7 linked regions of the Canis lupus familiaris genome follow. The protein of the gene in region 1 interacts with the protein of each later gene in a pairwise test. Links are inferred from orthologs where the notes say so. Each region holds a gene or a part of one and is shown in the gene's direction. Other genes may lie near its edges.

The links.
Region 2: the proteins of TNIK (region 1) and GSE1 interact in a two-hybrid assay, tested with the Homo sapiens proteins (2 studies listed by BioGRID and IntAct). The link is inferred for Canis lupus familiaris from reciprocal best matches to the Homo sapiens genes TNIK and GSE1.
Region 3: the proteins of TNIK (region 1) and MYT1L interact in a two-hybrid assay, tested with the Homo sapiens proteins (2 studies listed by IntAct). The link is inferred for Canis lupus familiaris from reciprocal best matches to the Homo sapiens genes TNIK and MYT1L.
Region 4: the proteins of TNIK (region 1) and HARS1 interact in a two-hybrid assay, tested with the Homo sapiens proteins (2 studies listed by BioGRID and IntAct). The link is inferred for Canis lupus familiaris from reciprocal best matches to the Homo sapiens genes TNIK and HARS1.
Region 5: the proteins of TNIK (region 1) and PPM1E interact in a two-hybrid assay, tested with the Homo sapiens proteins (2 studies listed by BioGRID and IntAct). The link is inferred for Canis lupus familiaris from reciprocal best matches to the Homo sapiens genes TNIK and PPM1E.
Region 6: the proteins of TNIK (region 1) and DPYSL3 interact in a two-hybrid assay, tested with the Homo sapiens proteins (2 studies listed by BioGRID and IntAct). The link is inferred for Canis lupus familiaris from reciprocal best matches to the Homo sapiens genes TNIK and DPYSL3.
Region 7: the proteins of TNIK (region 1) and WWC1 interact in a two-hybrid assay, tested with the Homo sapiens proteins (2 studies listed by BioGRID and IntAct). The link is inferred for Canis lupus familiaris from reciprocal best matches to the Homo sapiens genes TNIK and WWC1.

Annotation. Positions count from the first base shown.
Region 1 is NC_049255.1:36,054,088-36,058,977, reverse strand, and holds the start of TNIK (TRAF2 and NCK-interacting protein kinase), read left to right. Parts: upstream 1-1,694; 5' UTR 1,695-1,821; coding exon 1,822-1,878; intron 1,879-4,890. UniProt on the Homo sapiens protein: Serine/threonine kinase that acts as an essential activator of the Wnt signaling pathway. Recruited to promoters of Wnt target genes and required to activate their expression. May act by phosphorylating TCF4/TCF7L2.
Region 2 is NC_049226.1:67,906,916-67,911,791, reverse strand, and holds the start of GSE1 (genetic suppressor element 1), read left to right. Parts: upstream 1-1,722; 5' UTR 1,723-1,820; coding exon 1,821-3,146; intron 3,147-4,876.
Region 3 is NC_049238.1:1,323,203-1,327,802, reverse strand, and holds the start of MYT1L (myelin transcription factor 1-like protein), read left to right. Parts: upstream 1-1,702; 5' UTR 1,703-2,037; exon of another isoform or gene 2,038-2,133; intron 2,134-4,600. UniProt on the Homo sapiens protein: Transcription factor that plays a key role in neuronal differentiation by specifically repressing expression of non-neuronal genes during neuron differentiation.
Region 4 is NC_049223.1:34,968,819-34,973,489, reverse strand, and holds the start of HARS1 (histidine--tRNA ligase, cytoplasmic), read left to right. Parts: upstream 1-1,431; 5' UTR 1,432-1,513; coding exon 1,514-1,603; intron 1,604-1,876; coding exon 1,877-1,966; intron 1,967-4,671. Other genes in the region: HARS2 (histidine--tRNA ligase, mitochondrial), read right to left, coding at 1,075-1,185. UniProt on the Homo sapiens protein: Catalyzes the ATP-dependent ligation of histidine to the 3'-end of its cognate tRNA, via the formation of an aminoacyl-adenylate intermediate (His-AMP). Plays a role in axon guidance.
Region 5 is NC_049230.1:33,523,815-33,527,904, forward strand, and holds part of PPM1E (protein phosphatase 1E), read left to right. Parts: intron 1-2,268; coding exon 2,269-3,329; 3' UTR 3,330-4,090. UniProt on the Homo sapiens protein: Protein phosphatase that inactivates multifunctional CaM kinases such as CAMK4 and CAMK2. Dephosphorylates and inactivates PAK. May play a role in the inhibition of actin fiber stress breakdown and in morphological changes driven by TNK2/CDC42.
Region 6 is NC_049223.1:40,852,794-40,855,941, reverse strand, and holds part of DPYSL3 (dihydropyrimidinase-related protein 3), read left to right. Parts: intron 1-527; coding exon 528-690; intron 691-1,613; coding exon 1,614-1,702; 3' UTR 1,703-3,148.
Region 7 is NC_049225.1:44,173,532-44,177,621, reverse strand, and holds part of WWC1 (protein KIBRA), read left to right. Parts: intron 1-947; coding exon 948-1,217; intron 1,218-3,851; coding exon 3,852-3,973; intron 3,974-4,090. UniProt on the Homo sapiens protein: Regulator of the Hippo signaling pathway, also known as the Salvador-Warts-Hippo (SWH) pathway.

The DNA of each region.
Region 1 (4,890 bases):
ATTCAGCGCGTTGGAACGGTGGCCGTGGGAACAGGTGGCCAGTGTCCCGGGCCGGGGCACCTAAGCAGCCCCATCATTGGACAACAGCGGGACCGGGGCGCCGGGCCGACGCTGCTGCGCAGGCTTCAGGGTCTGCAGTCCCGCTGACCCCGCGGCGCTGCCTTCGGTCCATTCATTCAAGAGCCTCCTTCGGGGGCTGACTGCGCACACGGGACCCCGAGGCCCGGCCTGCGCGTGGCCCGGAGGCCCCCCTCGGCTGCAGCAGGGGTGCAGGGAGCGCTTGCAGGGCGACGGCTGCATTGGGGGGCACAGCTGGGCTCCCGCGTCCCTTCCTTCCTGCGCGGGGGGCCCGGGGGAAGTGACCTCATACTTTTGGTTGGGGAAGGTCATGCTTACCACTGTCCACGCTCAGCCTTTCCAGGAGCCAGCGGGGGGCGGGGCGGGGCGGGGGGTGGGGGTGAGCTCGCCCTCCTGCCGTGCATTTTGCACACACACCTCCCAGCACCCGCCAAACTTTCTCCGCCCGCCCCAGGAGCTCAGCGGCGGAAATGCTGCCCCCAGGGCCGACGTGCGCCGCCCCACCCGCTGTCGCCCTTGGAGGGGTACCTGACGCTGCGGCACCCGGGGGAAGGGAGAGAAAAAAAAAAAAAGCAAAAAAAAAAAAAAAAAAAAAAGAAGCTGCTCGTTTCGCTTCGGTCGTTTCCGTGGGGAACTGCGGTACGGGCAGGTCCTGGGTGTGGCGGTGCCAACAGGGAACTCCGATCTGCGTTTCTCCCGCTCCGGGGTAACCTTCCCAGCCCCCGACCCGCGGGTGGCCGGTCCCGGATGCCCCCTGCCGGGCTCCCGGGGGTCGCTGGGCGCCCCCCCCCGCCGCGGCGCAGCGCTGGAGCGCAGGGTGCCCGTGCGCTTCGCCCCCATTCGTTCCGCGCCTGGAGGCGGATCCCCTTCCCTGCACACAAGTCCTTATATGCACCGGTTGCACCAGCCCGTGCTACTCCAGCCTCACAAATAACTAATGGGGGGAGGGCGGCCGTCGCTCTTCCCCCCCCCCGCACCCCACCGCCCTCCCCGGGATGTGCAAAGCGCGGAGCATCGCACCCTGCCGAGAGCCCCCCGCCCCCGCCCCCGGTGCGAGGAGGGCCATTGTGCTGCAGCGCACGACTCGGACGCGCACGAATAAAGGCCCTTGGCCCCCGCGACAGGCCCGGCGGGGTCGGGGACCGCTCTCCAGACCCCGCGGGGGGCGCCCGGGCCGAGAGGGCGCGCCCCGCCCCGCGCGCTGGTGCAGAGGGCCCGGGTCAGGAAGCGCGGCCTCTCCCGGGCGGAGGCCCCGCCCCGCCCCGCCCCGCCCCGCCCCGCCCCCGCCCCCCGCCTCACTCCTCCCAGGAAGCGCTGATGGACAGCTCGGGGCGCTCGTCCGCCCCCACCCCCCGGCGGAGTGGAGGAGTTGATGTGTCTCATTATAACCGCCGATGCAGCCGCCATCCACGCACAGGCAGGGAAGCATGTCCCATTTAAATACACCCACGCAGCCCCTGCGCCCTTAGCCGAGCGGGGCGCGCAGCCCACACGCACCGCGGCTCGGGGCTGGGAGAGCCGCGCAGCTCGGGCTCCGGGTCCGCGGCCGCCCGCGGGCGCAGCAGCGGGATCGGGCGTCGCGGGGCCGGGCCGGGCCGGGCCGGGCCGGGGCGGGCGCGGGGGCTGGGCCGGGGCCTCTGGCGCGGCAGCCGCATGAGGACGCGAGGCCGGTAGACCAGGTGGAGTCTGCAAGGGGGGAGCCTCGGGGGGGCGCAGGGCCGCTGCTCCCGCGAAGAAGTCGACATGGCGAGCGACTCCCCGGCTCGCAGCCTGGATGAGATCGATCTCTCGGCGCTGAGGGTGAGCAGAACCGGCTTCTCGGGGGGTCTCGGGGGGTCTCGCCGGGGGCTAGGGGCGGCGCGCGGGCGGGGGCAAGGCGGATGCGCGGCGGCGGCGGGGGGGACCCCGGCTTCCCGTCCCCGCCCCGGGCGAGCCTCGGCTCCGTGACCCCCGCGGCGGCGGCCGGGCTCCCCGGGATGCGGGGCATTCACCTTACCCCGGCGCCCGAGCCTTGAACGTGGAATGCTCGTGTGCGCGCGCGCGTGTGTGCGCTGTGCACACGCGCCCCGGACGGCCAGCTCGTGCAAGGCGCGACGCCCCACCGTCCCCCCTCCCCCCCCCCCCTTTTTTTTTCTTTTTTTGCAAAACGTGGAGAAACGCACCGGCCGCTCACTTTGCGCAGCTCGCTGCGGGGTGACCGGGGCAGCCCGACGGCCCCGACCCCGCGACGCCGGTGCCCGTCGGTGGCCGCCGCCCCCAGGCTCCCCCCGCGCCCTCCCGCGCCCGCCTCGCGCACCCCTGTTTACGGTGTAACTTAGCCCTGCTTGCTTTTTTTTTTCTTTTTTTTTTGACTTTGTGGCCCTGACATTTCAGTTTTATGGGCCAACTTAAGGCAGGTGAAGGGATGTGCTCTCCGCGCTCCCCCGCTCAGACCGGAACTCCCGTGAGTGTGCGCGTGTGCGCGTGTGCCCGCGGCCAGCCCTTTGTAGGGAGAGTAGGGGGAGCATCCAGCTCCTCCGGCCCCGCGGCTGGCTTTGCGTTTCCCTTCACGTGAATCGCCCCAGACGCCCTTTTTTTTTTTTTTTTTTTTTTTTCATTGTATGGACTGAGACATCACTTGCCATAGGATCCATTTTGCTGTTGTTCTGAGCTCCGGATCCCGGGAACCCCAGTGTAGCCTCGACGACGCCCCACCCCCACCCCCGGATCCCAACACGCTCTTTCGGGGGAAGGGGGCCGAGACTTCTTGCCATTTTAATGAGATGCTGCCTCCCGAAGAGGGGGACAGGGAGGGTCTGATGCTGCAGCCAGTGGGGGGGGGGGGTCTGAGATGGATCGCACCCCAGTTAAGGATGGCTTCTTCCTCCCCCTGAACGAAGACTAGGAATTAAAGGGGGGAAAGCGACTGCATGTGTATCCTGGCAGCGCGGAGGGTCGGGGCCCGCCTCGCCGGTGCTGTCCACGCAGCCGCGCAGGAGGGGTGCAGCCGCGAAGTTCACACGCCCTCCTGAGGCTTACATGGTTACACTGATGCTAAATCTCGGGGTTACAGACCTGAATCTTCACCCCTCCTCCTGCCACTGCCCCTTCCCTCACGGGTATCTTGAAGAGCTGCCTTGAACCGTCCAAGTGCTACTTTTTCTTGCGGCTCATTAAAGCCTCCCTCCCTTGCACAGCCTCCTCTTGTGGAACTTCCCCTCCTCTTCTGCTTCATCCTTCCCAGAGGTGAGGTTTCTGCGAGGCAGTCCAGGGGTTGAGAAGGAACATAGATGCCATTTGAAATGGCCTCTTTTTTTTTTTTTTTTTTTGGATAGTTGGGCAGCAAAAGCTCATTCATGTGATATTACAGTAAGCTGTCTATTCGCCTGGTGCAGAAATGCCACATTCAGAAGCCGCAGCTCCCTGGGCAGCTGGGGGTGGGGGCTGGTAACAGGGTGGGTGCTTTGGCTAAGTCTGTGGTTTCCTGCCTTACAGGCTGTGTGTGTTCATTTGCCCTACTTTCTGTGCTGGGAGTTGCTGCCAGCGGGTTAATCAGGTGGATGGATGGCCCAGACTACAGGGTAGGGGAAAGTGGCGAAGCCCCGCAGGGGGTGGGGTGGGGGGTAGGGGAAGGAGCCTGAACAATGGGCAAGGCTTGTGGTTTTCTCCTGAGCAGAATGTCCTCATCCTCCTCTAATAGAAAGCAATCCGAGGCGATTTTTAAGTTGGCCTCGGTCAGAGGTGTCCCCCGTTGGCTTTTTCACGGGGAAGGTTTCCTGAGATCCGGAGCCCAGAGCCTGCAGGCTGGTGAGCAACCACGAGGGCTCACCGGGCCTGCCTGAGTGTGAATCACACACGGGAGGCCTGTGCTCCAGAGATCTGTATTTTGAAAAGAGATCTTGCAGGATTCACTGAAATTGCTCTTTGTCGCCTGGGCTTAGTGCTTTGCCTCTGTATTTCTGCCTGCAGGAGGTGTGTGAAGAGGGAGGGCGAAGGCCAGCTCTAGAGATAGGAACTGCTGGCTGGCTGGAAGACCTAAATGCAGATGTGGAGACGATTGCATCCCCGGTGCCGGAGAGTATGACCAGTCTTGTAGGGGGTGAGGTGTGCAGGCGGGCCATTGAGTCCAAGGGCCCTGTTGGTGATCTCCACAAATCCGAGAGCAGATAATGTCTCTCTGTCTTTCCAAATTAGGAGAGGTGGGTTTATCCAGATGAGAGGTCTCATTAGTTCCTAACCCCTCAGGAAAGCCCGCCTGCTGAGAGCCTCGTGGGGAATGCCTGACCCCTGAAATGCAGCCAAGGTCAGTGGCATCTTGGAGAATTTGCTGCAGCCTTAACCAGTCCCTTGCTGTCTCGGTGGCTCTTTAATGTACACAATCAATGCTCTTTTGTAAACCCTGAGCTCAATGCATTAAAAGCAGATCCTGTCTGGAGAGGCCTTTATCCTTCTCACTTTGGGGGCTTATTGTTCTCAGCCAGTGATCCCAGACTGGACCCAGTCTAAATTTTCCCCAAATAGCAACAATGCATAATTTAAACCAGAGCAACCAGTGACAGCACTGATCACTTAAATTATGCAAGATTTGGATGGTTTTAAAAAGTAAGATAAAACCGGATCTTCTTGGGTTAGAAGAGAGATGATCTGAATCCATTTTTTTTTATTAGTCCTGATTTTTAAGGCTCTGGAGATAAACCAAGTGTGGGGGGAAGGGGATGATTTTATAGATTTAGAGCTGAAAGAGAATTGGACAACACTTAGCCACTCCTTCCATTTAATACCAAGCTGAAGCCCAGAGAGGTGTAGTCCTCGTCCAAGGTCACACAGCCCCGT
Region 2 (4,876 bases), on another chromosome or scaffold:
CAAGGAGGAGGGGGCCGGGCGCCCGGGGCAGGATCGGCGGGGTTCCTGGGTTTTCTCTGTCTCTCGGGCTGGCGCCCCGTCCTCCGCAGCTGCCCCCGCGTCCTGCTTGCCCTTTACTTGAAGCGCAGCTGGGGCCGCCGATGGGGCTCCGCGGGTTCCCTCGGGGACCCTCGAGACGGCCCGAGCCGGGCGCGCTGCAGGGAGCCCCTAATCGGGGCCGTGAATCAGGGCGCGCGACTCCGGGCGGGACACGGAATAGATAGAGGAGCCGGCGAGCCATTGTGCGCAGCCCGGGCGGCGGGGAGGGGGGGGAGGGGGAGGAGGGGAGGAGGGGAGGGAGGGAGGGAGGGAGGGCCGCGGGGGCGGGGCGGGGCGGGGCGCCGCGGCGGGCGGGCGGGCGGGCGGGCGCGCGGGGGAGGGATTCCCCGCCCCCGCCCCCGCCCCCGCCCCCGCCCCCGCCCCTCCGCGCGCCGCCCGCCGCCCCGCCCCCTCCTCCCCAATTAAATGACCCCACGCTTTGGCAGGCGCCGGAGCTCGCACATGCGGCCGCCGCTCCAGCCGCCCGGGGCCCGCCGCCGCCGCCGCCGCCGCCGCCGCCGCCGCCGCTGCGTTCCGGGCGCGCTCGGCGCGGCGCCGCCGGGGGCTCGGCAGGCCGGGGGGGCGCCCCTGCGAGCGGCCGTGCGCCCCCGCCCGCGCCCGCTGCCCGCCGCCAAACTTCGCGGCGCGCTCATGCCCCAAGTTGGGCGCGGCGGCGGCGGCGGGCGCTGAGGGCGGCGCGGGGCGCGGGGCGCGGGGCGCGGGGCGCGGGGGGCGGACGCGGCGCGGCCATGAGCGGGCGGCCGGCGCCGCTCTCCCGCAAGCAGCGGCTCATGGCAGCCGTGGGCGAGCGGGCGGCGGCGGGCGGCGGGGCCGGCGGGGGCGGGGGCGGGGGCGGGGGCGGCGGGGCCGGCGGGGCCGGCGGGGGCGCGCCGCTCTCCTGCTTCATCTGCGGCGGCGGCATCGGGCGCGGCAAGGAGCTGAAGCTGCAGGTGAAGCAGCCGGCGGCGGGCGCGGGGGCCGCGGCGCAGCCCTTCTTCCCGTTCCTGCAGCAGCAGGAGCCGGCGCCCGGCGCGCGCGAGCTGTGCCCGGCCGACGGCTGCGTGCTGGTGTGCGCCGTGTGCCGCTGCTTCCTGGGCGAGCAGTGGGCCGCGTTCGAGCGCGCCCGCACGCCGGTGGACAAGCGCATGTACTGGCTCAAGCGGCCGCACCAGTGCGAGGCGGGCGCGGGCGCGGGCGCGGGCGCGGGCGGGCGGCGCGGGGCGGCCGGGGGCCCCCGCGAGTGGAACGTCGCCTACGCGCTGGGCGGCGCGGCCGACGAGGCGCGGGACTCGGAGCTGTCGGAGCTGTCGGACGCCGACCCCCTCTCCGAGGGCGAGCCCGCCGCGCGCGACGCCGCCAGCCCCCGCCGGGACGGGGCGCCGGCGGCCGGGGGTCCCCCGGGGCCCGGCGCTCGCGGGGGCCGCGGCCAGGAGTGGAGGCCGGCGCCGGGGCCGCCCCCGGGACCCCCCGCGGGGCCGGGCGGCGCGCGGGAGGACGGGGCGCCCCCCTCGAAGCAGCGCGGGGACGCGGAGCCGCGGAGCGGGCCCCGGCGGCGGCGGAAGGCGGCCGGGCGGCACTGGGGCCCCGAGGCCCGCGCCAGCGTCCTCAGGGGCATCACGGACCCGTGGCGAGGCGCCCCCGGCCAGGGGGCCCCCGCCGACGGCGCCAAGGGAGGCCCTCCCGGCAGGGCCCCCAAGGGCCCCGAGAGCAGGCCGGCTGCGGACGCCCGCGGGAGCTACTGCATGTCGGAGGACAGCGACATCAACATCACCAGCGAGGAGGAGGACCGCAAGGAGCAGCCTCTCTCGGGCCCCAGAGACAAGGAGAGCGGCGGCTGCGTCCCCTGGGGCTCGCTGGCGAGCCGGGCGGCGCCACCGGAGGGCCTTTGCTGCTACATCTGCGGGTCGGCCCTGGCCCCGGCCTCGCAGCACCAGATCCACGTGCAGAAGCAGGAGAAGCTGGCCCAGGCCCCCTTCTTCCCCTTCCTGTGGCTGCACAGCCCCCCTCCGGGGGCCCAGCCCATCAGCGACGGAGGCAGCACCCTGGTGTGCCCGTGCTGCTTCTCCTCCCTCATGCAGCAGTGGCAGAGCTTCGAGCTGGCCAACGTGCCCGTCCTGCAGCGACTGTACGTCGTGCCTCTGAACAGCCACGCCCCCGGCATGGCCTCCAAGGGCCGGAGGCTCCCAAGGGAAGACGGCCCGCCTGCGGGGGCCCTGCCCGAGGCCTGCTACCTCTGCGGGGAGGACTGTACCCAGGACGCCCGGGCCGTGGCCTTCAGGATTCTCAACGGCAGCGCCCGGGGCTCCATGCATTTCCCCTTCCTCAGCCTCCTGCCCTGTCCCCCCAACGCCCGGGGCCCCAACAAGCGTTGCGAGGTCCGAAGCTGCCCCAAGTGCTTCAGCGTCCTGGAGGACGTCTGGGCCCTGTACCGGGCCTGCCAGAACGAGGAGCTTATCACCTCCGTGCAAGGCTTCCTGGGCAGGTACCACCAGGCCTTCTCCGCCTCGGAGCCCGCTCTCTGCGAGCCGCCTGCACCGGCCCGGGGCAGCCCGGCATCTGTCTGCTACATCTGTGGGGCCGAGCTGGGCCCTGGGAAGGAGTTCCAGCTCAACGTGAACCCCTCCAGCCGCCTGGGCGAGAAGGAGCCCTTCTTCCCGTTCCTCACCGTTTACCCGCCCGCCCCCCGTGCCAGGCCCGCCGACTCCACCGGCCTCGTGGCCACCTGTGTGCTCTGCTACCACGACCTGCTGGGCCAGTGGCTGCAGCACGAGGCCCGCAGCGCCCACCACACCGTCAGCGCCTGGTCTCGCCAGTACCAAGTGGAGACGTTCGTGTGCTTCTTTTGCCAGCAGGAGAAGAAGCGCTGTCTCGGACTCAAGGCCCTGCGGCTGGCGCGGCTGCCCTTGTTTCTCTATACCCTGCGAGCAAGCCACAGCCTGCTGGTGGACGATGGGCGGCAGCTGATCATCGGCGCCTGTGTGGAGTGTGGGACCCTGGTGTGTGCTGGCCCGGGGCTCGCCCGCCAGGGGTCCGTGGGTTGGAGCTCCCCAGTGGCAGCGGCGATGAAGGTAAGTCCTGGTTTTCTCTTCAGCCTCCGGTGATTTGAGTAGGAGAGGAAGACATGTTACTTTCTGTTCCTCTGCTGGGGAAGTGTTTGTACTGATTCCGTGTGATCTGTTCCAGAAGGAGCTTCCCTCCTGGGGTCACCGGGCCGGCGGCGCCTGGGGAGGGCGCTCGAGGTGGGGGTGCTGACTGAGCTGGGAGTCATGTGGAGCTGGGGGCACCTGGAGCGGGCTTGTGGAAGAGCAGGGCACTGCTGAACGCATCAGGCCTGGGCCTGAACTTGAGTGTGTGTGCAGCGGAGTCCGTCAAACAGAGGAAGTTCGGGGCACGTCTGTCATCCGCCTGATAACATTGGTAATTAGTCCGGCCATGCAGGTCACTGGGAGGTCTGTGCACTTACCCGGTTGGAAATGCAGCGGAGGTGGCAGTTCCTCTCCGTGCTGGCGCTGGCACCGCTTCGCTCCTGCAGTTTTCCCCCAAGTTCACACTTTTCCTCTGAGGCTCTCCGGTTGCTTCACAGCAGATGGAAACAGATTTTCAGACGTGGGGGTTTGGGACCCGGGGGACAGTGGCCTAAACAGACTTTCCCCCTGATGGGAAGAGAGGCTTTCTTCTCTGCAACTCAGCTGTGCAGGAGGGGGGGCGGCAGAGAGGCGGGGGGGTGTGTGTGGTGGCTGGCGTGTGCCCTGTTTATAAGGCGCCTGCCTTCACGCTGCCTGCCCGGGAGGAGCCAGACGGGCCTCAGTTAATTTTGGATTAGGCTTTGCAAGGGCCAGGACAGGACCTGCCTGCAGTGGGTCTGGGGAAATAGGTGTTTGTGAGTCGGGATCACCATGTACGGTGATGGCTACGGCGGGGGGGGAGGGGGGGGGGGGGTGTCGGGGAGGGGGCGGTGTCGTGAATCCTCATCGCCTGGAGGCCTGGTTTATTATAATCAGATGCCTGTAGTGGGAGCCACCAGCGAGGGGCCCCGCAGAGGGCCCCGTGGATGGGGAAGAGCGGCTCGGGCTTGTTCAGGAATGATTGTTGCATCTATTTGGAAGGATGGAATCCCCGTGTGTGGAATTCCTGGCTTATGCGTTCACTCTCAGGGGAGGTTGCATCTGTAAAGTGGGCGCACTGTCCCGCTTCCCTCCAGTGCTTGCCCTATGCTCTGCTCTGCCCAGGCTTTCTTCATGCTCTGCCCAGGCTTTCTTAATCTGCCAGTGTCCCTTTTGGACCATAGAGATGTAACTGGGGGCTTTGGTAGTGGTCCTCTTCTTCTAAATGGATGCATGTCTCATTCCCCCCCTGTGGGTACTGGACTTCTCATTTGCAGCCTGTGGTAGTCCAGTCTGTGGGGTCTGCTGCTGGGAGTCTGAAGAAGTGCTGTTTCCAGAAGGGCCAGAAACCAGGTGGTGAGCCTGGCTTTGGAGCAGGACAGACCTGGCTTCCAATCTTGCCCTGTCTCTTGCTAACCTGAGCAGCCAACGGCAAGTGTCTTACCCTCCCTGTGCCCGTTTTCTTGGCTGGGGAGCGGAAATACAGATCGCCTGCCTCGGAGGGCCAAGTATGTGAACAGACTGGGCATTTAGCTGCCCCCAGAAAGTCAAGTGCCTGGCACACAGCGGGACCCTCCCATCCACCCGATGTGTTGGGCAGATTTTTCTAGGATGCAGGTTGGTTTCTCTGCGAGGCTTTCCATTTGCAGGATGGTTGTGGGTCTCAGGCTGGGTGATTGGTGCTGCATGGAGGA
Region 3 (4,600 bases), on another chromosome or scaffold:
GACTGCAGCTGCTTCGCCGCGTGCCGAGTGGAGTCTCCATTAGGGCAGCTCTATTGATTTCTGATTCACACTGCAGCAACAGGGCTGGAGTGCAGGAGGAAAAAAGATCACATCTCAGAGATAAGAATTACTAATGGCAAAAATAAGCACACACACACACACACACACACATGCATCTGTTACCAAAAAGAATCAAGAAGGGAAATTAAGACAGCAAAATTGCAAGATTGTTAGCATCTTAGAAAAAAAACATAGGAAAAATAAAGTATGATGAATTCAGGAAAACCCTTGGTTCTAATCTTTAAGCCATTTTTTATGAAAAATGATAATGTTCTTATTTCCAGAATGCTTTTAAAAAAAAAACCTGAAAAATTTGTCAAAGATACTTATTTGAGGGTAATCTTAAAAGCCATGCCTGAGAATTTTGAGAAAAATTCAGAGATTTATTTTTATTAGATTTGTTAAATTATTGCATCAGTTAGCTCTCATTTTCCTATTTTGGATGCTTTGTGTTGCATAATATCTGGGATACAGTAGCAGGTTGGTTGCAAATGTTTGAAACAGAAATAGGTTGCATTTCAGAGTCCAACTGTGAGCCTGTGAAGCAGCTAGCGTTCTCTCAAGGTCTGTTGCCTCGGAATCGGTTAGAAATTATTGTATTTAGGTGTAAAATGGTGACTTGGTCTTTCAGGCGGCTTGAGTTTATAACTGGCCCTTTTACCCTGAGACTTATCAGCTACCTCCTTCTCCAAAAGAATGACAGAGGTAAGTTCGGTTTCACAATAACGGTGCTGTCAGGCAGGCAGTCTGCATGTGAGCAGCAGAAAATGAGAAGAATCGAACAATCCCTTCCCATCCCCCCACCCCGGCCACGCGCACACACACTCGCACACACGCGCGCACACACGCACACACATGCACACCCACCCACATGCACACACATACTCCAACACCAGTCGGTTAAGGGGAAAAAGGGCGATACCTTTTTAAAAAACGAAAGGCAGTAAGCCATTATTAGCAAGAGCTATATTGAGCATGCTTGCCAGACAGGCAGCAAAGCCGAGCTCCAGTTCCGCCCAGACATGTGCCTTGCCATTTTCATTTTAATCAGCCTGCTCAGGATGGCTGCTGATTCATTTTGCAGGATGTCCCCCTGGGAGTCAAGGTGGAAGCCTGAGGCGAGCTGCTACTGCATCAGGGCAGCACAGAACATCAGACAGGGAGAGTGGGGGCGAGGAGGAGACAGGAGATCCCACACTCCACATTCCAGATTTCAAGATGGCTATTTAAAAATCCTTCCCGAGACCAAGTGCACTACAGAAAATATAATGAAACAAAAATAAAGAAAAAATATGTCACAATGTCATTTCATTATCAAACCAACCCCCTCCGATGAAACACACACACACACACACACACACATGCGCATTTCCACAGAATGCCTTGAAATTCTAGTTTTCTTCATGGTCACTGTAAACTGCTATATATATATATATATATATATATATATATATATATATATTCATATTTACCTGGTAACTAGCTGGGGTGGTGTACCTGATTTAGCTGGAGACTTTGATTTGTGGGATTGACAACCTTATTATGCACTGAGCTTATTATTGATATTATTCTGCTCTCGGTTGCCATGGCCACCTTGTGAGAGACATTCAATTTTCTCTCTTCCATCATCATTATCTATGAGGCCATCTGTTGTGGAAAATGAATTCAGCCTCATTTGCATGACTGATAAGCAATTTTTTTTTTATCTATTTAACAGAAGGTCATATGCCGGGGATTTGGAGCTCGTGAAAAAAAATGTGGAGAAAAAAAAAGCATATCGAGAGCATGAGTGGGAGTGTGTGCATCAGGGGACGCATGTGGAAGTGAAACAGATCCCTCAGGCCCGCGAGCCGATCGCGCTGCGTTTGTCAGTCCTGCCCGGGCGACATTTTTTCCCTAAGCTACTGCACACTAAAGCAGAGAGAGAGCTTTCCTCGCAGCCTTCTTGAAGCCCCCTGATTTTTTTATTCATTGTTGGTGGGTGTATTTTATTTTACGTTTTATTCCCTGGACTATGGGTTATGGTGTCAATATTCACTGAAGACAAAAAGCAACCTTTTCTGCATCTCGGTGGTAGGCATATTCCTCATCCTCCTTTCAAACTTGTGGTGGAAAAGGGTTTTCTTTTCTTCTGGTGTCTATTGAGCCAGCACAGTTGACAGCATTGAGTTGGTCGTTAACTTGTGAGCGGTTGTGGTCATGTTGTGAGGTATGTGATCTTCGTTAGGTTAATTCTGTGGACCTGGTGGACAGCGTATGTTTTACCGTAGTCCAGGGGCTGGTGCTGCAGTGCCTATTGTTTGCTCCTTTTTAAAGTTATTTTTACAGCATGGCTGGGAGCTGAAATGTTCCTGGGCTAGAGAGTTTGTGAGCCACAGAAGTCTGTCTTTACAGCAAAATGGGTATTAAGATGCATGCCTTAACTGTGATGTTGTTTATTTAAAAAAAAAAAAAAACTTGCTGCATGGACAATACTTGGATGATTTGCGGGCACTGAAACAAAAACTTCCCAGAGACTTTACTGGGTTACTTTCCATTACAAATGAAGCAGAGCATTGTTACAAAGGCTGTTAAAACATTCGATATTCTTGCTGTGATGTTACATTTTGCCTAATGGTGAGAAAGTTGACTTATATGGTCTAAACTGAGAAACTCAAAGATTTTTAACTATTACCTAAATGTCTGAAGTTCATAGTGATGAAACATTATTTCAATTGTAACAGAAATATGTCTTCTCATGCAACTTACATTAATAAACTAGAAGTCCAGACTGCAAACTTTAGTTTCAAGATAGGTCATAATAAGGAAATAAATAGATATGCAAATATTCATATGATAGTTATTCGAACTATAGAGCATTGAATTTGACTTTAGTATTAAATTAGCCATGACAATTTCTTGTACCACTAAAACTCTACTATATAATACTGTAGAATTTTAAGTTATTTATTTACTTTGAGTAAAAATATTTTTCCTAAGAGCTTTTGTGTTTGAGTGTATTTTACTGAACAAAATTAACTTCACAGACAAAAGCACCCTACCACCACCCTTATAGGCATAAGGGAGTCTTTCTAATTGTTCAACTTCATAAAAGTTATGCAGCTTTCTAAACGATAAATAGAGCATGTCTGCCATGCAGATAAAAATGTGATTACTTTTTTTAAAAAAGTGTTTTGCACAATATTCCCTTTTGAAAAACAGCTCCATTGCATTCCCGTAAGTTTTCACCTCTTCAGAACTTTGAATGCAAAGTGTTGATTGTATATCATATACACGACTAAGTGACACGTTCTAGGAAAAAGGAAGTTTATTTTTTTTTCTAATTGACCTGAAGGAAAGTGTATGATTCTATGCTCTCAAGTACAATAGGTTAATTGGTTGAAATTCTCCACAAGGTTGAACTGTAGTGACATATTTTCTTTATTAAAGACAATAGACGGTTGCTGATATGCTTGTATAATAATTTTTTACTTGATGGCACTTTTAAAAAACTCTTGCCACAGTATCACGGATGACTTATAAGCAAAGCAGCTGTTATGTAATCCTTCCTTTTAAAATCAGCCATTTTTTTTTATATTTTAGCTCGAGTATTACAGAAATGATTTCACTCTAGTAATTTCACACTTAGTAAGTTCAAAACAATAAAAGCCCGATAGTTTGTGAAGATTATTTAAAGTGACATCACTTTTCTCAGAGGACTGTAGTTGAATCACGGTAACGTGATACCTGGATCTATATTATAATAGGAAGGATTATGCTGGTGCTTTTTGATCAGTACATGTCGTCTTCAGATTTGGAAAGCAGAATTGTCAACTTCTGAGCAAACTAGGAGGTAGCAGAGTTGGTTTTTCCTTCTCCCCCACCCCCTCAAAAAAAGTTAATTACCAATCTTGGTTGGGTTCTTCCTTGTCTCCCTGACATTTGACTGCTGCTAATTCACTGATTAATCTCATTAATGTGATTATAGTGGGATTTGGAGCTGGCTGCCATTGTTCTGTAGACAGTGCCATTCAGCCCGAGCACTTGCCACCTCATTCAGTTTTGCTGTGATTTTTCAAAGGCTGGTTGAGTGAGCCATTGTGAGCAGGGCTTCTCTCCCCTTCCCTTTCAGCACCGGGAGCTGTCCGCTGCTGATAGCAATTACGTTCAGCCCTGACTGACTTTCCACTAGTTTACTGGCAACGTAAAAATGGCTCACTTTCATCACCTTGATGATTGTGCTCCTTGAGGTAGGAGCAAGAGCAGCCTTTATGGTCACAATTGGGTGTTTTGAAGATGGTGGCAGAAAAGATATGCAATCTCTGTGTTTTACTCTGCACATAAGAATTTCACCCCACTTTCCAAATTGCCAAACATTAGGATTTCATTAAAATCACTTGCCTAAGTATACAATGGTGCATTGGAAAACTGTAAACACTAGGTAGACATGTTTTTCAGATGGAAAAGCTTTTTGTAATGGAAAGGTATGTAATTACTGATAGACATTTATTTTGGAAACGATAAGCCAGGACCATCAAGATGAACCAGCAAGACAGGAAGT
Region 4 (4,671 bases), on another chromosome or scaffold:
TTATCTATTTCAATCTCAGCCTCCTTCCAAAATATACACTGTATTTGCACTATATATGTAATACACATAAGGTCAGGTCTTTATCATATTCGGAGTTTTTAATGTCTGGAAAAGCACCTGAGAACAATGAAGGCACAGGACAACCCACCATTACTGCCACCAACCATCAAGGAGTAGGGATTAGTATGATCTCCAATTCTTAGTTCCTACTCAAAGAGCAATAAATGAATTTTTAATAAGGTAACAATCAATGGTCATTAGGCTTAGAGACATGGAAAAAGTAACCCGAAGACAGGAGAACCAGCCCAAAACATACAATACGCCTATGGAATGAACAAGAATGGATCGAACTAAATAAGTCGAACTAAAAAATCAGACTGGTAAGATGCTGTGACTGAAAATTAATAACAAAAGACCTGAGCCCTGTTGTTCATGATAGCACAAAGCATCTGCTAGGGTCTTTCCTAAAGTAAAACTGAACCGATAATTTTATTTATTAGCAGCAGGCTGTACGCCCTTTCACAAACATAGTGTGGTAGTTCCATATTTTGGCAATTCTCTCTTCCAAAGGATGGCAGTTTAAGTCCATATGCAATTCCAAAATCCAAAAATCTTTAAAAAACAGAAAGTGGTTTGTTTTGGGGTTTCTTTTGGGGGGGGGGGGCGCGGAGTTCACTTTAAGATAAATTCTAATGTGAATTCAGTCTACTTATGGTCTTCTGTCATTTCACTTAATGGGGATATTCATATACTTTGCTTAAGAATGTGTTTGACCCCCAAGAGGTTCCCATAAGGGATTGTGGGCCTGTATTAAAAATGCTCCCTTTACTATATATTTGTAGATAAGTCATTTAACCTTGCAGACTGTTTCCTCAACTGTAAAATGGAAATAATCCCAACCTCTCAAAATTGCTATGAGGATTAAATGGCTAAGTATCTAAAATACTTGGCTCAGTACCAGCAAACCACTCAAAAACAAAAACAAAAAACAACTGTACTACTGGAACGCAGGCCGAGAGTCCATACTTTCAGACCTGAATATCCTGCCCCGACAGACCACTCAGTCTGGCTCACCTGGCTATGAAAATGGACCTCCCCGATGCACACAAGACCGGACGGCCGCAGGAGCTGGCCAAACAGTGAAGCCCAGGCCCTCCGGTGCAGGAGTCCGAACGGGGGCATCATGTAACAGGAAGCCGCCTTTCCGAGACAAGAGCCAAAAGACCTGGGGACGAAGCAGGTCGGACCCCACCGCAGTAAGTGTGCAGAGCGCTGTAGAGGTTAGCCGTAGCACCAGCGAAAAGATCACTTCCTTACCTTCCAAAGCCTGAAGGCTGGCTCCGAACCTTTCAGGCACCGTCTCAGCTTCGGCACTTCCGGGAGCAGCCGGAAGTGTTTCGACGGGGGCCCTCTAGGCGTGCGGTCCAGTGACTCGATAGCCGGAAGTTATCCGAGCTGAGGCTGCGGCAACCACAGCGGGTCTAGACAGCCCTCAGCGCCAGTTGGCCGCAATATGGCAGAACGTGCAGCACTGGAGGAGCTAGTGCGACTTCAGGGAGAGCGCGTGCGGGGCCTCAAGCAGCAGAAGGCCAGCGCTGAGCAGGTGCGACCCAGGTGGCTGGGAGAGACCAAAATAGGACCGGGGGGGACATGGAACTAGGTGGTCTGCATAGAGGAAAGAGATGTAGGAAAAGGGACCCGGCGGATAGGAAGGAGCAGGGCCAGGATGGGGAGGTGTCCCGGGTAGAACCCGACAGAAGCACAACTGAGGGGAGAGATCTGCCCAGATTCTGATGAGGGAGGGATACTGAATGAATGGCGGAGGAGGGAAGGGAGTGGCAGACGTGATCGCCCAGCACTTATTTTACTTCCACAGATCGAGGAGGAGGTAGCAAAACTACTGAAATTGAAGGCGCAGCTGGGCCCTGATGAAGGGAAACAGAAGTTTGTGCTCAAAACCCCCAAGGTAAATACAAATCCATTAAGGAGCTTCTGCGAAGGCCCCTAATTCCACTCCCAAACGTGGATGCCCCTGCTTCCCTGAACAGTTGTTCTGGGTGCTGGGCTGAATTGGAGTCCGAGTCGTTCTGGGATAGCAAAGTGATGGCAGAAACTAGACAAACTGGGTGCTTAGTAGTATGCCAGCTACACCTATTCTTTCTTTCATTCAGTAAATATTTTTTGAGTGCTTACTATATGCCTAGCACTGTAGGAATCAGTGAGTATACCATGGTGAACAATACAGCCTGCCCTCATGGAGCTTACATTCTACTGAACGAAATGGACTCAGGACAAATAATCCCACTCTTGAATATGTGATTATAAATTGTGATAAATTATATAAAGAAATAACAAGAGATGCCTGAGTGGCTCGGTAATTGAACATCTGCCTTAGGCTCAGGGTGTGATCCCAGGGTACCAGGATGGAGTCCCCCATCCAGCTCCCTGAGAGGAACCTGCTTCCCCCTTTGCCTGTGTCTCTGCCTATCTCTGTGTATCTCTCATGAATAAATAAATAAAAATCTTTAAAAATAAAAAAATAAAGAAATAACAAGAATTCTGAGATAAACAGGAAAGAACTAGAGAGTCTGAAAAAGCCTCGATGAAGAAGTAATGTACTAACTGACCCAACTGACTTAGGATGAATGGGAAGTAGCCAGGGGAGGAGTGTAAGGAAGATAGGTTCAGGTAGAGTATGGAAATCCTGAAGGAGAGAAGAATGCTTATAGTTTCCAGGAACTAGAAAAAGACCTGTATGAGTAGAACCAAATATAGAGGGAGAGTAGAGTGGAGTGGAGTGGAATGAGGTTGTAGATTACTAGTCCAGCCTCCAGGATTTTAGTTTAGATATCATTCTTTGTAAGCTCTATAAACAGAACTATTTACTGTTTCATCTGGGTTCCCTAGGCACCTCATATATATCTCTATTATTGCATTTCTTGGTGACTTTTAGTTATTCACATGGTTTATTTACCCTGAGAGGCTGAGAGTAGGTATCTGGAACTGAATAAATAGTCAATAAATGTATTGTGAAATTGGATTCCAAAGAAGAGGAGTCTTCCATGCATTGAGGTGTCGCCTTTTTAGGTTCATTCTTTGGGCTCCTAAATTCATTGGGCTATTCCCTTCTACACACAACTAATATTGGAGGTTAAAGAGACAATAAAATCACAAAACAGTGGTATCCATAGTTTTTTCAAACTATCTAGTGATAAGATTAATGGGGAATTTATGATAGATCAGGCTGGCCTCACGTAAACCCAACAATCAATCTTAACATCATTAAAAGTAGGGCAACCAGACATTATGTTTCACCTTATGTGATGCAATAAGAAGTACACAGCACCACCTATGAACTTTTCCTGCCAAGAAAAATTGAACCTGAATCTAATCAGGCCTTTTGACCTAACCATCAGTTTACCAAAAATATGGGAGATGGCGGAATGTATTAAGTGACACATTGGATATATTGTTAATGAAATCTAGAATATGAAAAGTTCTTTAAGACAAATAATTCAATTTCCTCAACAAATAAATGGCACTTAAAAAAAAAAAAAAAAAGGAAAGGAACCTGTCGTGGATTAAATAGATAAAGAGACAAATACAGTGACTGGGCTTCATTTAGAATCTAATTCAAGTGAGCCAACCATAAAAAAAAAAATTTTATATATATATAAATTTATTTTTTATTGGTGTTCAATTTGCCAACATATAGAATAACACCCAATGCTCATCCCATCAAGTGCCCCCTTCAGTGCCCGTCACCCAGTCACTCCCACCCCCCGCCCACCTCCCCTTCCACCCGCCCTAGTTCGTTTCCCAGAGTTAGGAATCTCTCATGTTCTGTCTCCCTTTCTGATATTTCCCACTCATTTTTTTCCCTTTATTCTTGAGGCAATTGGGGAAATTTAAACATGGCTTGGGTATTAGGTAATATGAATGGGTGGCTGTTTGTTTTGTTGTAATAAAGGTATTATAGTGTTTTGGCTTTTTTTAAACCTTGTGCATTAGAAAATCATACTGAAATATTTATGGACAAACTGATATGGTGTCTGGATTTACTTTAAAATACTCCAGAAAAAAAGATGTTGGGCTTAGATAAAATAAAAATAACAGATGCTGATGGTTATTGAAGCTGGGTAATAGATGCATGGTGGTCTGTGATACTATTCCCTATATTGTGTGTTTGAAAATCTCTATACTATTTTATTTATTTTTTAAAGATTTATTTATTCATGAGCAGCAAAGACTGCTGAGAGAGAGAGGCAGAGACATAGGCAGAGGGAGAAACAGGCTCCTTGCAGGGGGGTCCAATGTGGGACTCAATCCCAGATCCCAGGATCACAACCTGAGCTAAAGGCAGGCGTGTAACCGCTAAGCCACCTAGGTGTCCCTCTATACTATTTTAAAAGAAAGATTATACTGGAGAATTAATATCCACTTTAGTTTGTTGAAACACAATTTTTTGATGTGTGATTTATATTAACAGAAAACTCAATATCGTGGGGACAGAACTCTCAAAAGGTTTTATAGTCAGAATTATTTTTATAATACTGAAACATTACTTGCCTTTGTGACCACACTTGCTATGAAGATTCAAAAGCACTGAAAAGTAGAACTGCTGATGTCTTAGCATGAAACATGACAGTGGCACTACATTGTACTAATAAT
Region 5 (4,090 bases), on another chromosome or scaffold:
CCAACAGTAGAGCAGGTGAAAAGCCAGAATTTTGGCAGCATCTTCCCTGTGCAAATCTTTGTATGTTCTGTTCCAAACTAACAGTTGCAGTAGCCTTTTAATTGAAGCACTAAAACAAGATTTTTGGGAACAGTATGACTCAGATCACATTTATTTTTAGAGCTGGAATTCAGAAAATAATAATGATGATAATAATAATCAGGTGGAGTAGGGGACAGGGAAATTTAGTAAAGTGGATTGATTGGTGAAGAACACTAAATCCCATGATTGGAAGTTTTGATTAGCTCTCACAGGCTACAGGGAGACATCATATAGTATAAAAGTGAAATTGATGGAGTCAAAACCATGTTTGAGGGAAGATAGTTCTGGCAACTGTATGAAAAAGACTAGTTTCTTATCTAGTAGTATCTGTTGTTCAGGGTGCCCCAATCATTAAACCTGCTGGATAGGGAACGTGGCCCATACTGGTTCTAGCAGTTATCTCTAGGGTTCCTATTGAGCTTTCTGGGCCTATTTGAGGATTAAACAGGGATGTGAAATGTTGGAGAGAATCTTATTTGGATAGGAGAGAACCTAGAACAGATACCAGAAACAGTGATTATATGGCCAGATAACTTATATGTAATTATCTTCATTTTTTAGTTCCATAGAAAGGACAGTAACTGATGTGGGTGTGCAAGTAACAAATGCTAGGATCTGGATTCAGGTATCTGACTCCAGGGCTGGCATCCTTAACCACTAAGCTACATGCTGTTACTTTACAAATGACAAAACATTTTATACATTTTAACTACTGTTTCCAAAAAAAAAAAAAATAATAATAATAATAACTACTGTTTCCCAAGTATGAGATCCTAATCTAGGAATTATTGCTAAATACACTATTTTCTATGTAAAGAAGTAATAAACGAGTTGTACTAATAAACTATGGTGACTTAATAGGTTAAGTACCCTCTGGCAAGGCTCTCTACAAATACACAGAGGAAAACAATGAATGTAGAATGAATGGATCTGGAAGTGTTCTAGATCTGAAAGATCCAGAATGGACTGCATATGATTTCCTCGGTAGTCTGGTGATAGATACCCTGGAGACCTTGGGCCTACATTAGGCTAGGTTTCTGTCTCCACTCCCAAGCACCCCATATGTAAACAGTTGCCTCTGTGTCTTTGCTTATGCTATTCCTTCAACTGAGAGCCCTTCTCTACCTGGTGATAACTAACTTAACCTTCAAGGCCCAGCTCAAATGTCATTCTGTAAGTGGATGAAATAAACAGAAGAGGGATCCCTGGGTGGCGCAGCGGTTTGGCGCCTGCCTTTGGCCCAGGGCGCGATCCTGGAGACCCGGGATCGAATCCCACATCGGGCTCCCGGTGCATGGAGCCTGCTTCTCCCTCTGCCTGTGTCTCTGCCTCTCTCTCTCTCTGTGACTATCATTAAAAAAATAAAAAATAAAAATAAACAGAAGAGAAACAATGCCCCAGTAGGGCTTTGGGGGTTCTCACCATTGTTCGTAAGTGAAGAATGAACAACAGCAATAAAGACGGCGGGGGAAGCAGAGGTTGGATCAGAGACAAATGAAGAAGGCAAGAATATGGTAGTCCCTGAAGGTGAGAGAAATGTGGTCATACATTTTCCAGTTGTTCTCTAGAAGTTACAAGTAAAGCAGCATTAAAAAGTAGAAAGCAAACTGGACTGGGAACCAAGAGACTTACATTCTAGTTCTCGTTTGAATCTTGGGATGACTTTTGTTGGACTTGATTTTTTAAAATCCCTTGTAACTCAAACCTTTCTCTGTGCTAGCAGCATAAAGCTACTAATTTGAAAACAAGGACAGAAAAGTAAGTATTTAATGAAAAGAATGACCACAACTTGGGTTTTTTTTTTCAATGTGGACTTGTTCTCAAATCTCAATTAAATCAAACTTAACTACTAATAAAAAAGTATACCTGTTAATCAGACATTTCCCATATAACACTGAATTTTTCAATGCAGCAAAAAATTTAGATTCGACATTTGCTGCCATGCTTAGCTAAACCTAAATCATAGCTAGAGGCACAAGATTCAGAGTGTAAGCAATTACTTAGTTGAGAGTAAGGCGTGAGCAGCAGGTGAATAACAAAGAATTCAAGTATTTTACCTGACACTAGTTTATAAATTCTTTCGATAAATTCAGATCACAACCCAGTAAATTGTGATCAAAGCACTGGCCATAAACATTCTTTCGTGCAAGGTAAACCAAAATCTGACCTACTTTCTAATTCCCACAGGAGACGCTGAACATAAGCCATATATCTGTGGGGATGCAGATTCTGCCTCTACTGTTTTGGATGGAACTGAAGACTACCTCATTCTGGCCTGTGATGGCTTCTATGACACCGTGAACCCTGATGAGGCAGTGAAAGTTGTGTCTGACCATCTGAAGGAGAATAATGGAGACAGTAGCATGGTTGCCCACAAATTAGTTGCATCAGCTCGTGATGCTGGGTCAAGTGATAACATCACTGTTATTGTGGTATTCCTGAGGGACATGAACAAAGCTGTAAATGTTAGTGAGGAATCAGATTGGACAGAGAACTCTTTTCAAGGAGGGCAAGAAGATGGTGGGGATGATAAGGAGAATCATGGAGAGTGCAAACGCCCTTGGCCTCAGCACCAGTGCTCAGCACCAGCCGATCTAGGCTATGATGGGCGCGTGGATTCATTCACTGATAGAACTAGCCTGAGCCCAGGGTCCCAAATCAACGTGCTGGAAGACCCGGGCTACCTAGATCTCACACAAATAGAAGCAAGCAAACCTCACAGTGCCCAGTTTTTGTCACCAATTGAGATGTTTGGTCCTGGTGCACCAAAGAAAGCAAATCCTATTAATGAGCTAATAATGGAGAAAAAATCAGTTCAATCATCATTGCCTGAACAGAGTGGTGGTGCTGGAGAGTTTCCCTCTTTTAATTTGGGTTCAACAGGGCAGCAGATGTACAGAATGGAGAGCTTGTCTCCTGTCTGTCCTAGGTTGGAAGATGAACAGTTCAAATTCCTGGGAAAGAGAGTTTCCAGATTGTCTCATTTACGCTATCATTATTCAAAGAGATGGCATGGATTCAGGTTTAATCCAAAGCTGTATTCATTTATGTCTGGTCAAGAGCCTTCCCACAAAATAGGCACTAGTCTGTCCTCACTTATTCGGAGTGGGAAGAGAAACAGAATGTTCAGAAGTTTTCTGCCATGGAGGCAAAATATTTGGAAAGGATACAGTACAAACATGATGAGGAAGCTCAGAAAGAGTAATGACATTCCAGACCCAGGTCTCCCCTGGAGCTATAAAATATAATACTTCCTCTTTAAAGTAGGCTAGCTAGCTCTCCCCAATAAAGATACCACTATCAGAGTAGGAACAAGGTAGATGTTTCTGAAACATACGTGCTTCATTATGAAACCATGGGTGGCTCAATTCTTAAATGTAAATAGATCTCTAGAAAACTCAAAGTAGTGTTTTCAATCAAAAAAAAAAAAGTATTGGCGGTTTCACTAGCGAAATTATACAACTGGTCCCTGTGATGTGTCTCCACACCTACATATGACCCCCAGTTTATTATCCCTTCACATCACTAGTGGAAGTTTGTGAATTAGTTGTTTTAGTCAGGATATCTAGTGTTGAAATCTCAATGCAGGTGAAATCTGGTTCGATGTGCCTACTGTATCTATGGAAAACTTAATACAGAATCAGATTTAGTTGGGGGATGTTCCCCAAAAGCCTGGGGGAATATGTGGGAAACCCTCCCCTCTTTTTTTGGTTGATAAGACTAAAAGCCATATGGGTTTTAATTAGTTATGATGAAAGTGGAAAACTAGTATAATAAGCGTGTCATTATTTTCTGACTTGTGAGGTGGTACATAGTCAAAAAGATTTACGGATTTTTTTTCCTGTAACAAAAACGATTATGAAAATTTTCTGAATTAAAAAGTACTTCCTAGGGCTGTGTAGCTATTTGGGAGTTTCATAACCTGTTATGGTGCTTTTAGCGGGATTTTTTATTATTTGTCATTTTAGAAGACCGCTGTCAACTGGTTTTAACCTATGATGCTATGATA
Region 6 (3,148 bases), on another chromosome or scaffold:
TCACGGCCACAGCGTGAGGCAGGGGCCGGACTGCAGGACGCCATCCAGCTTTGCCAGCTCTGCTCTGTGCCAAGGAGCGGGCCTGGAGCCCCCACGGGATGTCACCCCCAGCACTGCGACCTTGTCCCAAACCGCTGCCCTTCCTGCGTCCTCTGCTCCGGGCCAGCCGGCGGTCCTTCTATCTGTCCTGTTTCCCCCACCTGCTTCCTCTGCTGGGGACGCTGCTTCCGCCACCACCCCTGCCCCATGTCCTTGACTTCGTAGCCTCTCCTTCTCCTTCCTCAATGTCCCCCCACAACAGGTCCCTTTGCTCCTGAAGAGCGAAGCTCACCTATTTAGAGAGGTCCTCGCCGACCTCTGTACCGTCGCTCTGTCTCCACACCCTCTATTTTCTCCTTCTCCTTCCCTTAGGGCACCCTACTATTTGTCTTATTTCCTGGCTCCCACTGCACCCTGGATTCCCCGACTTAGCTAGAAGGGACCTTACGTGTTGACAGACTCTGGGGTGACCCCTTTCTCTGTTGCAGATGGCAGACCTGCATGCGGTCCCCAGGGGCCTGTACGACGGGCCGGTGTTTGACCTGACCACCACACCCAAAGGGGGCACCCCCGCGGGCTCCACCCGGGGCTCCCCCACGCGGCCCAACCCGCCCGTGAGGAACCTCCATCAGTCGGGATTCAGCCTGTCTGGTGAGTGGGCGAAGCGCCAGGTGCCCTTCTGTGAGAAGGGCCTGGTGGACTGGTGAGGGGGGTGCGGGGGAGGGAGGGGGTAGGTAGGGAGCTGGCCGGCCACCTGGGAACCAGCCCCCCCCAACACCTTCTGGAAGGTGGTGACTGGGGTCAGCAGGAAACTTTGCCAACTCAAAAAGGAATCCCGTTGAGAAAGCAAGATAAGTTTCGAAGAGGTTAAAGATCAGGTTTTTGGTTTTTTTTTTTTCTTTAAGATTTTATTTATTTGAGAAAGAGAGAGAGGAGAGAGAGAGAGCGCGCACAAGCAAAGGGAGAAGGAGAAGCAGGGGCCCCGCTGAGCAGGGAGCCCAGTGCGGGGCTGGATCCCAAGACCCCAGCCAAAGGCAGATGCTCAACCGGCAGAGCCACAGGTGCCCCAAAGATCAGGCTTAAATGATGACCATTTGCTTAGAGGTCACACCTGGAGGGGTGGGGTGCGATGACTCCCATGATGAATTGGTGGTGATTCTCTGCGGGCGGCCGTGGGAGCTGTGCGTGGTGTTGTGCACCTCTGTTGGAGCCGCTGTTGAGTAAATGCTCTGCTGGGCTAGCCTGGTTGATGCTTTAAGAACTAATATTCATAGAAAATAATTGTCTAGTTGCCCCGTAGCCTGTAGTCTTACGATGGGGAAAAGTAACTGTAGGTTTGCATTTCTGTGGTCCTTGTTTTTTTGTGTTTTTTTTTTTTTCTCTGCTGGAGATAGGCGTTCGGGAGGATGGATATGAAACACCTAGAATGTTTGATAGACTGGAATGGAAATTTCTCGGGAGATGAGGCCAGGAGGGTGCCTGCCGTCTGACACTCTGAAAACTAATCCAATTTCTCTCTTTTCCACACCCCCCTCTCCCTTTTTTCCTTCCTGGGGATGTGTTGCCAACCGTAGGCACCCAAGTGGATGAGGGGGTCCGCTCGGCCAGCAAGCGTATCGTGGCACCCCCTGGAGGCCGCTCTAACATCACGTCCCTGAGTTAAGCGACCCCTCCCCAAAGAGAGGGGCGGAAGCAAGAAGAGATTTTCTTGAAGCCAAAATGGTACACCAATATTTAAGAAGGAAAGCGAATCCAAACAGTTGCGATCTAAAGAATCAATAAGCCTCAAGCCTTATGTTTCTCCAATGCTACACTCGCTTGCCTAGCTTTACGAATATTGCTTTGTTTTCTGTTTATGCATAGCCTTGATTTGTTTGACCCCCTCCCCCCATTTCCATGCATGCAATCAGACAGGCTACTAAGGTAAAAGCGTCTGCTATATAGTGTTGAGCGCGTGTGTAGTGCTGCATTTTATGACAAGGGGACAGACAAAGCTGGGATGTCAGGAAAATCAACAAAAGGGACGTGGGTATTGGTGGTGAGGGGGTGGTGGGAGCCCAGAGTAAGGCGGAAGGCTCCGAGGGGCTGGGGTAGGGTGTGTACGGGGAGGCGGGCGGGTGGGTGAGCATAAGGGGGCTTGTGTGTTGTGTTGAAGCACGTTTATTTCCATGGATGATGGCTACTTGGGGCCGCCGCCCCTTCCTCACGGTCTCCAGGGGTCTGCGGAGAAGGCAGGCAGTCTTCAGGTTCCAGACTTTGTCACATCCCCTCCTAGATTTTATTCCTTTGAACATTTTATTAAAACACCAAAACCCAAACCATCACCTTCACCTGCTCGATCATGCCAGTGTTTCGTAGGGCCTCTTTCTCAGTGTTGCTTTCAAATTCTCCTCTTTCCTGGGCCGGGAAGGAAGAGAGGAGGAAACCCTCCTCCCTCTCTGTCCTGCCTGCCTCTCTGGTGCTCTTTAAAAGGCAGCAGCTGGGAGCACACGCAGGCCCTCGGGGCGGGGCAGCCGCGCTCACATGCCTTCCTCTAAACGCGTGTTGGAGATCATCACCTCACGTGCTCGGGGCCTTGCCCACCCGGGAGAGCAGCGTGCATCCGGCATCCTGAGTTAGGACAAGCCGAGGGGGACCCCCAGGAAGGGCTGCTCTTGCTGGCGGTGAGTGGCCGAGTCTTTCCATCTCGAGTTCCAGGCACATCTGTGATTGGATAGGATTTGGGGTTTGAAAATGTATGTGCTTAGGTGTTCTAGGAGTTTCGCTGTGAACAGGTGGTCTCGGTTGAGGTGGGAGCCAAGCAAGGATTTGGGAAAGCCAGTCTGTGAGGCTGGGGCGGGGGGCACATTCTGGGACCATGGGTCTGCTTTTCAGCCCTCAACTGTCTGCCCTTCCTTCAGCACATCCTCTGGGGGAGCTTTTGGTGTCTTCCTGCAGCCCCCAGGGTGGTGGAAGTGACGTGCAGCCTTGTGGGGTGTGGCACATAACAAAGTGGAGCTCAGTGTCCATCTCCCCATCCTGCCGCTTCTGAAAGTTCAATGTGAGCCAGATGAGGATCTGTAGAGCTAGGGGGGCCGGGGGCAGAGAGAACATAGTCGCCCTGGGATCA
Region 7 (4,090 bases), on another chromosome or scaffold:
GCATTACTCAGGATCTTTTATATAAAGATAACTGAAGAATGCATATATAGCTTGAAAGTGCAAGAGGGAATTTACTGGTTCATTTAATGGAAAACCCCAGGATTTTGGACTACCTTCAGGCATGAATTGATCCTTCATCGAGATAATTCATCAAGCCTCAGTCCTCCTCTCATGGCACTGTCCCGCCAGATAGCTTAATTCTTAAAAAGGGTCACCACATATAGTGGGAAAGATGGCCATGATGATGGGAAAGATGGCCATGATGAGTTCCAAGTCTATATCTTGCTGATCTCACAACCTCTGGGTAAAGACTCTTTTTTCCAAGGTGCTCAGCAAAAGTGCCAAAGTTGAAGGTTATTGGCTGGGCTTAGACAACATACTCACCCCTGAAGTGGTCACTGAGGTTCTGACTGTCCAGGTTCAGGTCACATCCCTGTCCCTGAAATCCCATGTGAACCACCTTGTGGGTTGAGCATGCAGGAGGAGTGGATCCCCAAGGGAAGCTACGGGCTCTGTTTACCGTCAGACCAGGGAAGCGGACGCTGGACATGCAGAAACAACAGATGTCCATGACGTCTCCTTTCCGGGGGGCACAGACCTGCACTGAGGAAACAACTTCAGGATAATGACAAGAACCCGTTAACCGAGTGTAAATGTTGAGGTCACTGAGAGCAGGGAAACGGGGCAGTGTGGGGAGTGAGTGAGGGGGTTCTGGAGCCAACTGCCAGGGTGGAATCTCAGACTTACCACCCAGCACCCTGCCTGGGGCATAAAAATGCTCAATGAACAGAAGCTGAAGACATGGGAGAAATCGGGATAGGCCCTGGGGGTGGGCGAGCCCCGTTTTTGAAGTAGAAGCCTGCCGATGAACAAAGGAGGGTATCTGAGGTTCAGGGGGGCGGGTTGTTGGGGCTCACGGAACCCAGCCCTCTAATAATCAGCCAAAGCTGTCCCTCCCCCCGCAGCCTTCGTCGGTCAAATCCCTGCGCGCCGAGCGCCTGATCCGCACGTCGCTGGACCTCGAGCTGGACCTGCAGGCGACCAGGACCTGGCACAGCCAGCTGACTCAGGAGATCTCGGTGCTGAAGGAGCTCAAGGAGCAGCTTGAACAAGCCAAGAGCCACGGCGAGAAGGAGTTGCCGCAGTGGTTGCGTGAGGATGAGCGCTTCCGCCTGCTGCTGAGGATGCTGGAGAAGCGGGTGAGAGCCACGCAAGAGGCAAGGGAGGCGGCTTGCTCTGCCCTGAGGGACTGCCCAGTGCTGCAGGGGAGGGAGGCCAGAGCTTTGAAGAGGTGCTACAGTCCTGTGACCCACTAACAGTGTTCCCAGGGCCCCTCACTCCCATCATCAAAACGATCCAGGAATCCCTTTGCCCGGTAAACTTTATTAACTCTCGACCTGGCTGCCGGGCCCTTCTGCATTTCCATATTTATGTGTGCAAGACCTTATCATTCACACTTTTATTCATCAAACATTGGGTACCAAATCTGCACTTGGGCACACACTTGAATAGATACAGAACACTGACCTGCCCCAGTGTCGGCCCATGTGATCCCACAGAGTAGCTCTCTCTAAAGATACAAGTTCGTACATGGAGGAAGTCCCTCATGTTGGAGATCTCCCAAAGGCGACTGCTCTGGGCCACCACCTAGAAGGGAGGAGGGCAGTCCTCCTCAGCAGCACAGGAGGACTCTCTGGGTCAGGGTGCTCCAAAGCAGGAGCAGCTTCAGATCTTTCATGGCTCTGGGCTTTATCTCATCTGTGGCTAGCAGATAGTGGGCACAACTTCATGGGGTATGCAAAGCTGGCAGTTTCTAAATGGATAAAAAAAAAGTCTGCTTGTTTGAAGCACATTTAAAGCAATTGGATGCCTTAAAAATTTGCCTTTGGCACCAGTGAGCTGACAGGTCCCAGCCTGTCATGAAGACGTAACAACACAGGGTCAATACACAGAAGCCATCATCAACTCATTTATACAGTATCTGCCACTCCTGGACTGTCACCCATGCAGGAATGACCTTTGCTGGTTTCCTCTGCGTACAGCCAGACAATGCACCTTGCAGAGGGTACCGGCCTCGGTTATTTTTTTGGGAGAGCCGTTAGCCGAAGCCCCAGCTCTCAGTGCCAGTGATAATGCCTGAGAGTAGGAAAGTGGTGGTGGGCTTCTAGGGTCTGGACTAGCTGAGGGGCTTCAAATTGACTCTGGTAATTCAAGAGTTCCTGCAATGTTTATTTCTTTCTAATTCAATATTTATACTCTGTATACTTATAATAGGTAATGCCTTTAAAGAAAAAAAAAGGGGGGGTGCCTTGGTAACTCAGTTGGTTAAGCATCTGCCTTCATCTCAGGTCATAATCCCAGGATCCTGGGATCGAGTCCCACATCGGGCTCCTTGCTCATCAAGGAGCCTGCTTCTCCTTCTATCTGCTGCTCCCCTTGCTTGTGTGCTCACTCGCTCTCACTCTCTGACAAAATCTTTTAAAAAGGAAGGGAAGGGAAGGGAAGGGAAGGGAAGGGAAGGGAAGGGAAGGGAAGGGAAGGAAGAGTAATGGCCTTTGGAAGGAAGGTAAGTGACTAAGTGCCTGTTCATTTCCTTTACTTTCCCTTTGTGCCTTTCACTTTGCCTTTCCTTTCTTTCTTTCTTTCGTCTCCTTCCTCTCCTCCTCCCTCCCTCCCTCCCTCCCTCCCTCCCTCCCTCCCTCCCTCCCTCCCTCCCTCCCCTCTCCCTCGCCTCCTTCCTTCCTTCCTTCCTTCCTCTCCTTCCTCCCTACCCTCCCTCCCCCCTCCCTCCCTCCCTCCTCCTCCCTCCCTCCCTCCCTCCCGCCCCCTCCCCCTCCTTTCCTTTCCCTCTCCCTCCCCCCCCCTCCCTCCCTCCCCTCCTCCTCCCTCCCTCCTCCCTCCCTCCCTCCCTCCTCCCCTACCGAAATAAAAGAAAAGAAAAGAAAAAAAAGAAAAAACCTGACCTCTCAAATAGCAAAAGAATAGTACATCGTGACTGTCTGATAATGGCCTACTAAATAACCACTTAAATGATGGCTTCATTGGGGCACCTGGGTGGCTCAGTCGGTTAAGCGGCTGATTCTTGATTTCAGCTTGGGTTGTGATCTCAGGGGCCTGGAATTGAGCCCCACATCAGGCTCCATGCTCAATGGGGATTCAGCTTGGGGATTCTCTCCTCTCCCCACCTCTCTCTCTCTCTCTCTCTCTCTCTCTCAAATAAATAGGTAAATCTTAAAAAAAAAAAAAAAAAAAAAAGATGGCTTCACCGACCAAAATTCCATCTTCATGCAATTAAGTTTCAAGTTATGTGATACATGGATATTTTAGGGCTTTTTGTGGTTTGTTCTCAAAAGCGCTTACATAGGTTTGCATTAAGAGGAAGGGATACAGCATATCTAAAGCCCTTGAACACAATTGCATGATTGGAATTGTGTTTCCAACACTTCTTAGTTGTTTGACATCATCAAAGAAATGTCTTAACATGCCTGAGCCTCAGTTTCCTCCTCTATAGTACAGAAGTAATTATAAAATGTACCTTTCTAGGTGGCCCTGGGGCTTAGAAAGGTAGCACACATTTCACTAGGCAGCCCTCATCTCCTTACACATAGGTATTCAGTTCCCTGGCCCCAAAAGCCTGTCCACCCTGACACATGATGGGGTCACATCTTCTCACCATTCTAAACAGAGGACCCAGCAGTGGAACGGGAGTGAGCATGCCTGTTCTGTGACCCTCAGACCTTTTGACTACACTAGACTCCTCATGTGTGCTAGAAAGTTGTCCTTAGCTGCCCCTTTCTAGAGGCCCTGAGGACTCCGTAGCACCTCACAGCCCTGCTTGCTTTGCCCTGCAGATGGACCGAGCAGAGCACAAGGGTGAGCTTCAGACAGACAAGATGATGCGGGCAGCCGCCAAGGATGTGCACAGGCTTCGAGGCCAGAGCTGTAAGGAGCCCCCAGAAGTGCAGTCTTTCAGGTAAGCAGTGGGCACCTGGCCAGCCCGCCTTCCCCTTTCACATGCAGCCGACCCAGCCTCAGTCTCACCAGCCCTGGCCCGTGCTCCCTCCGCTAGCAGAGCACCAGCCCTCCTCGG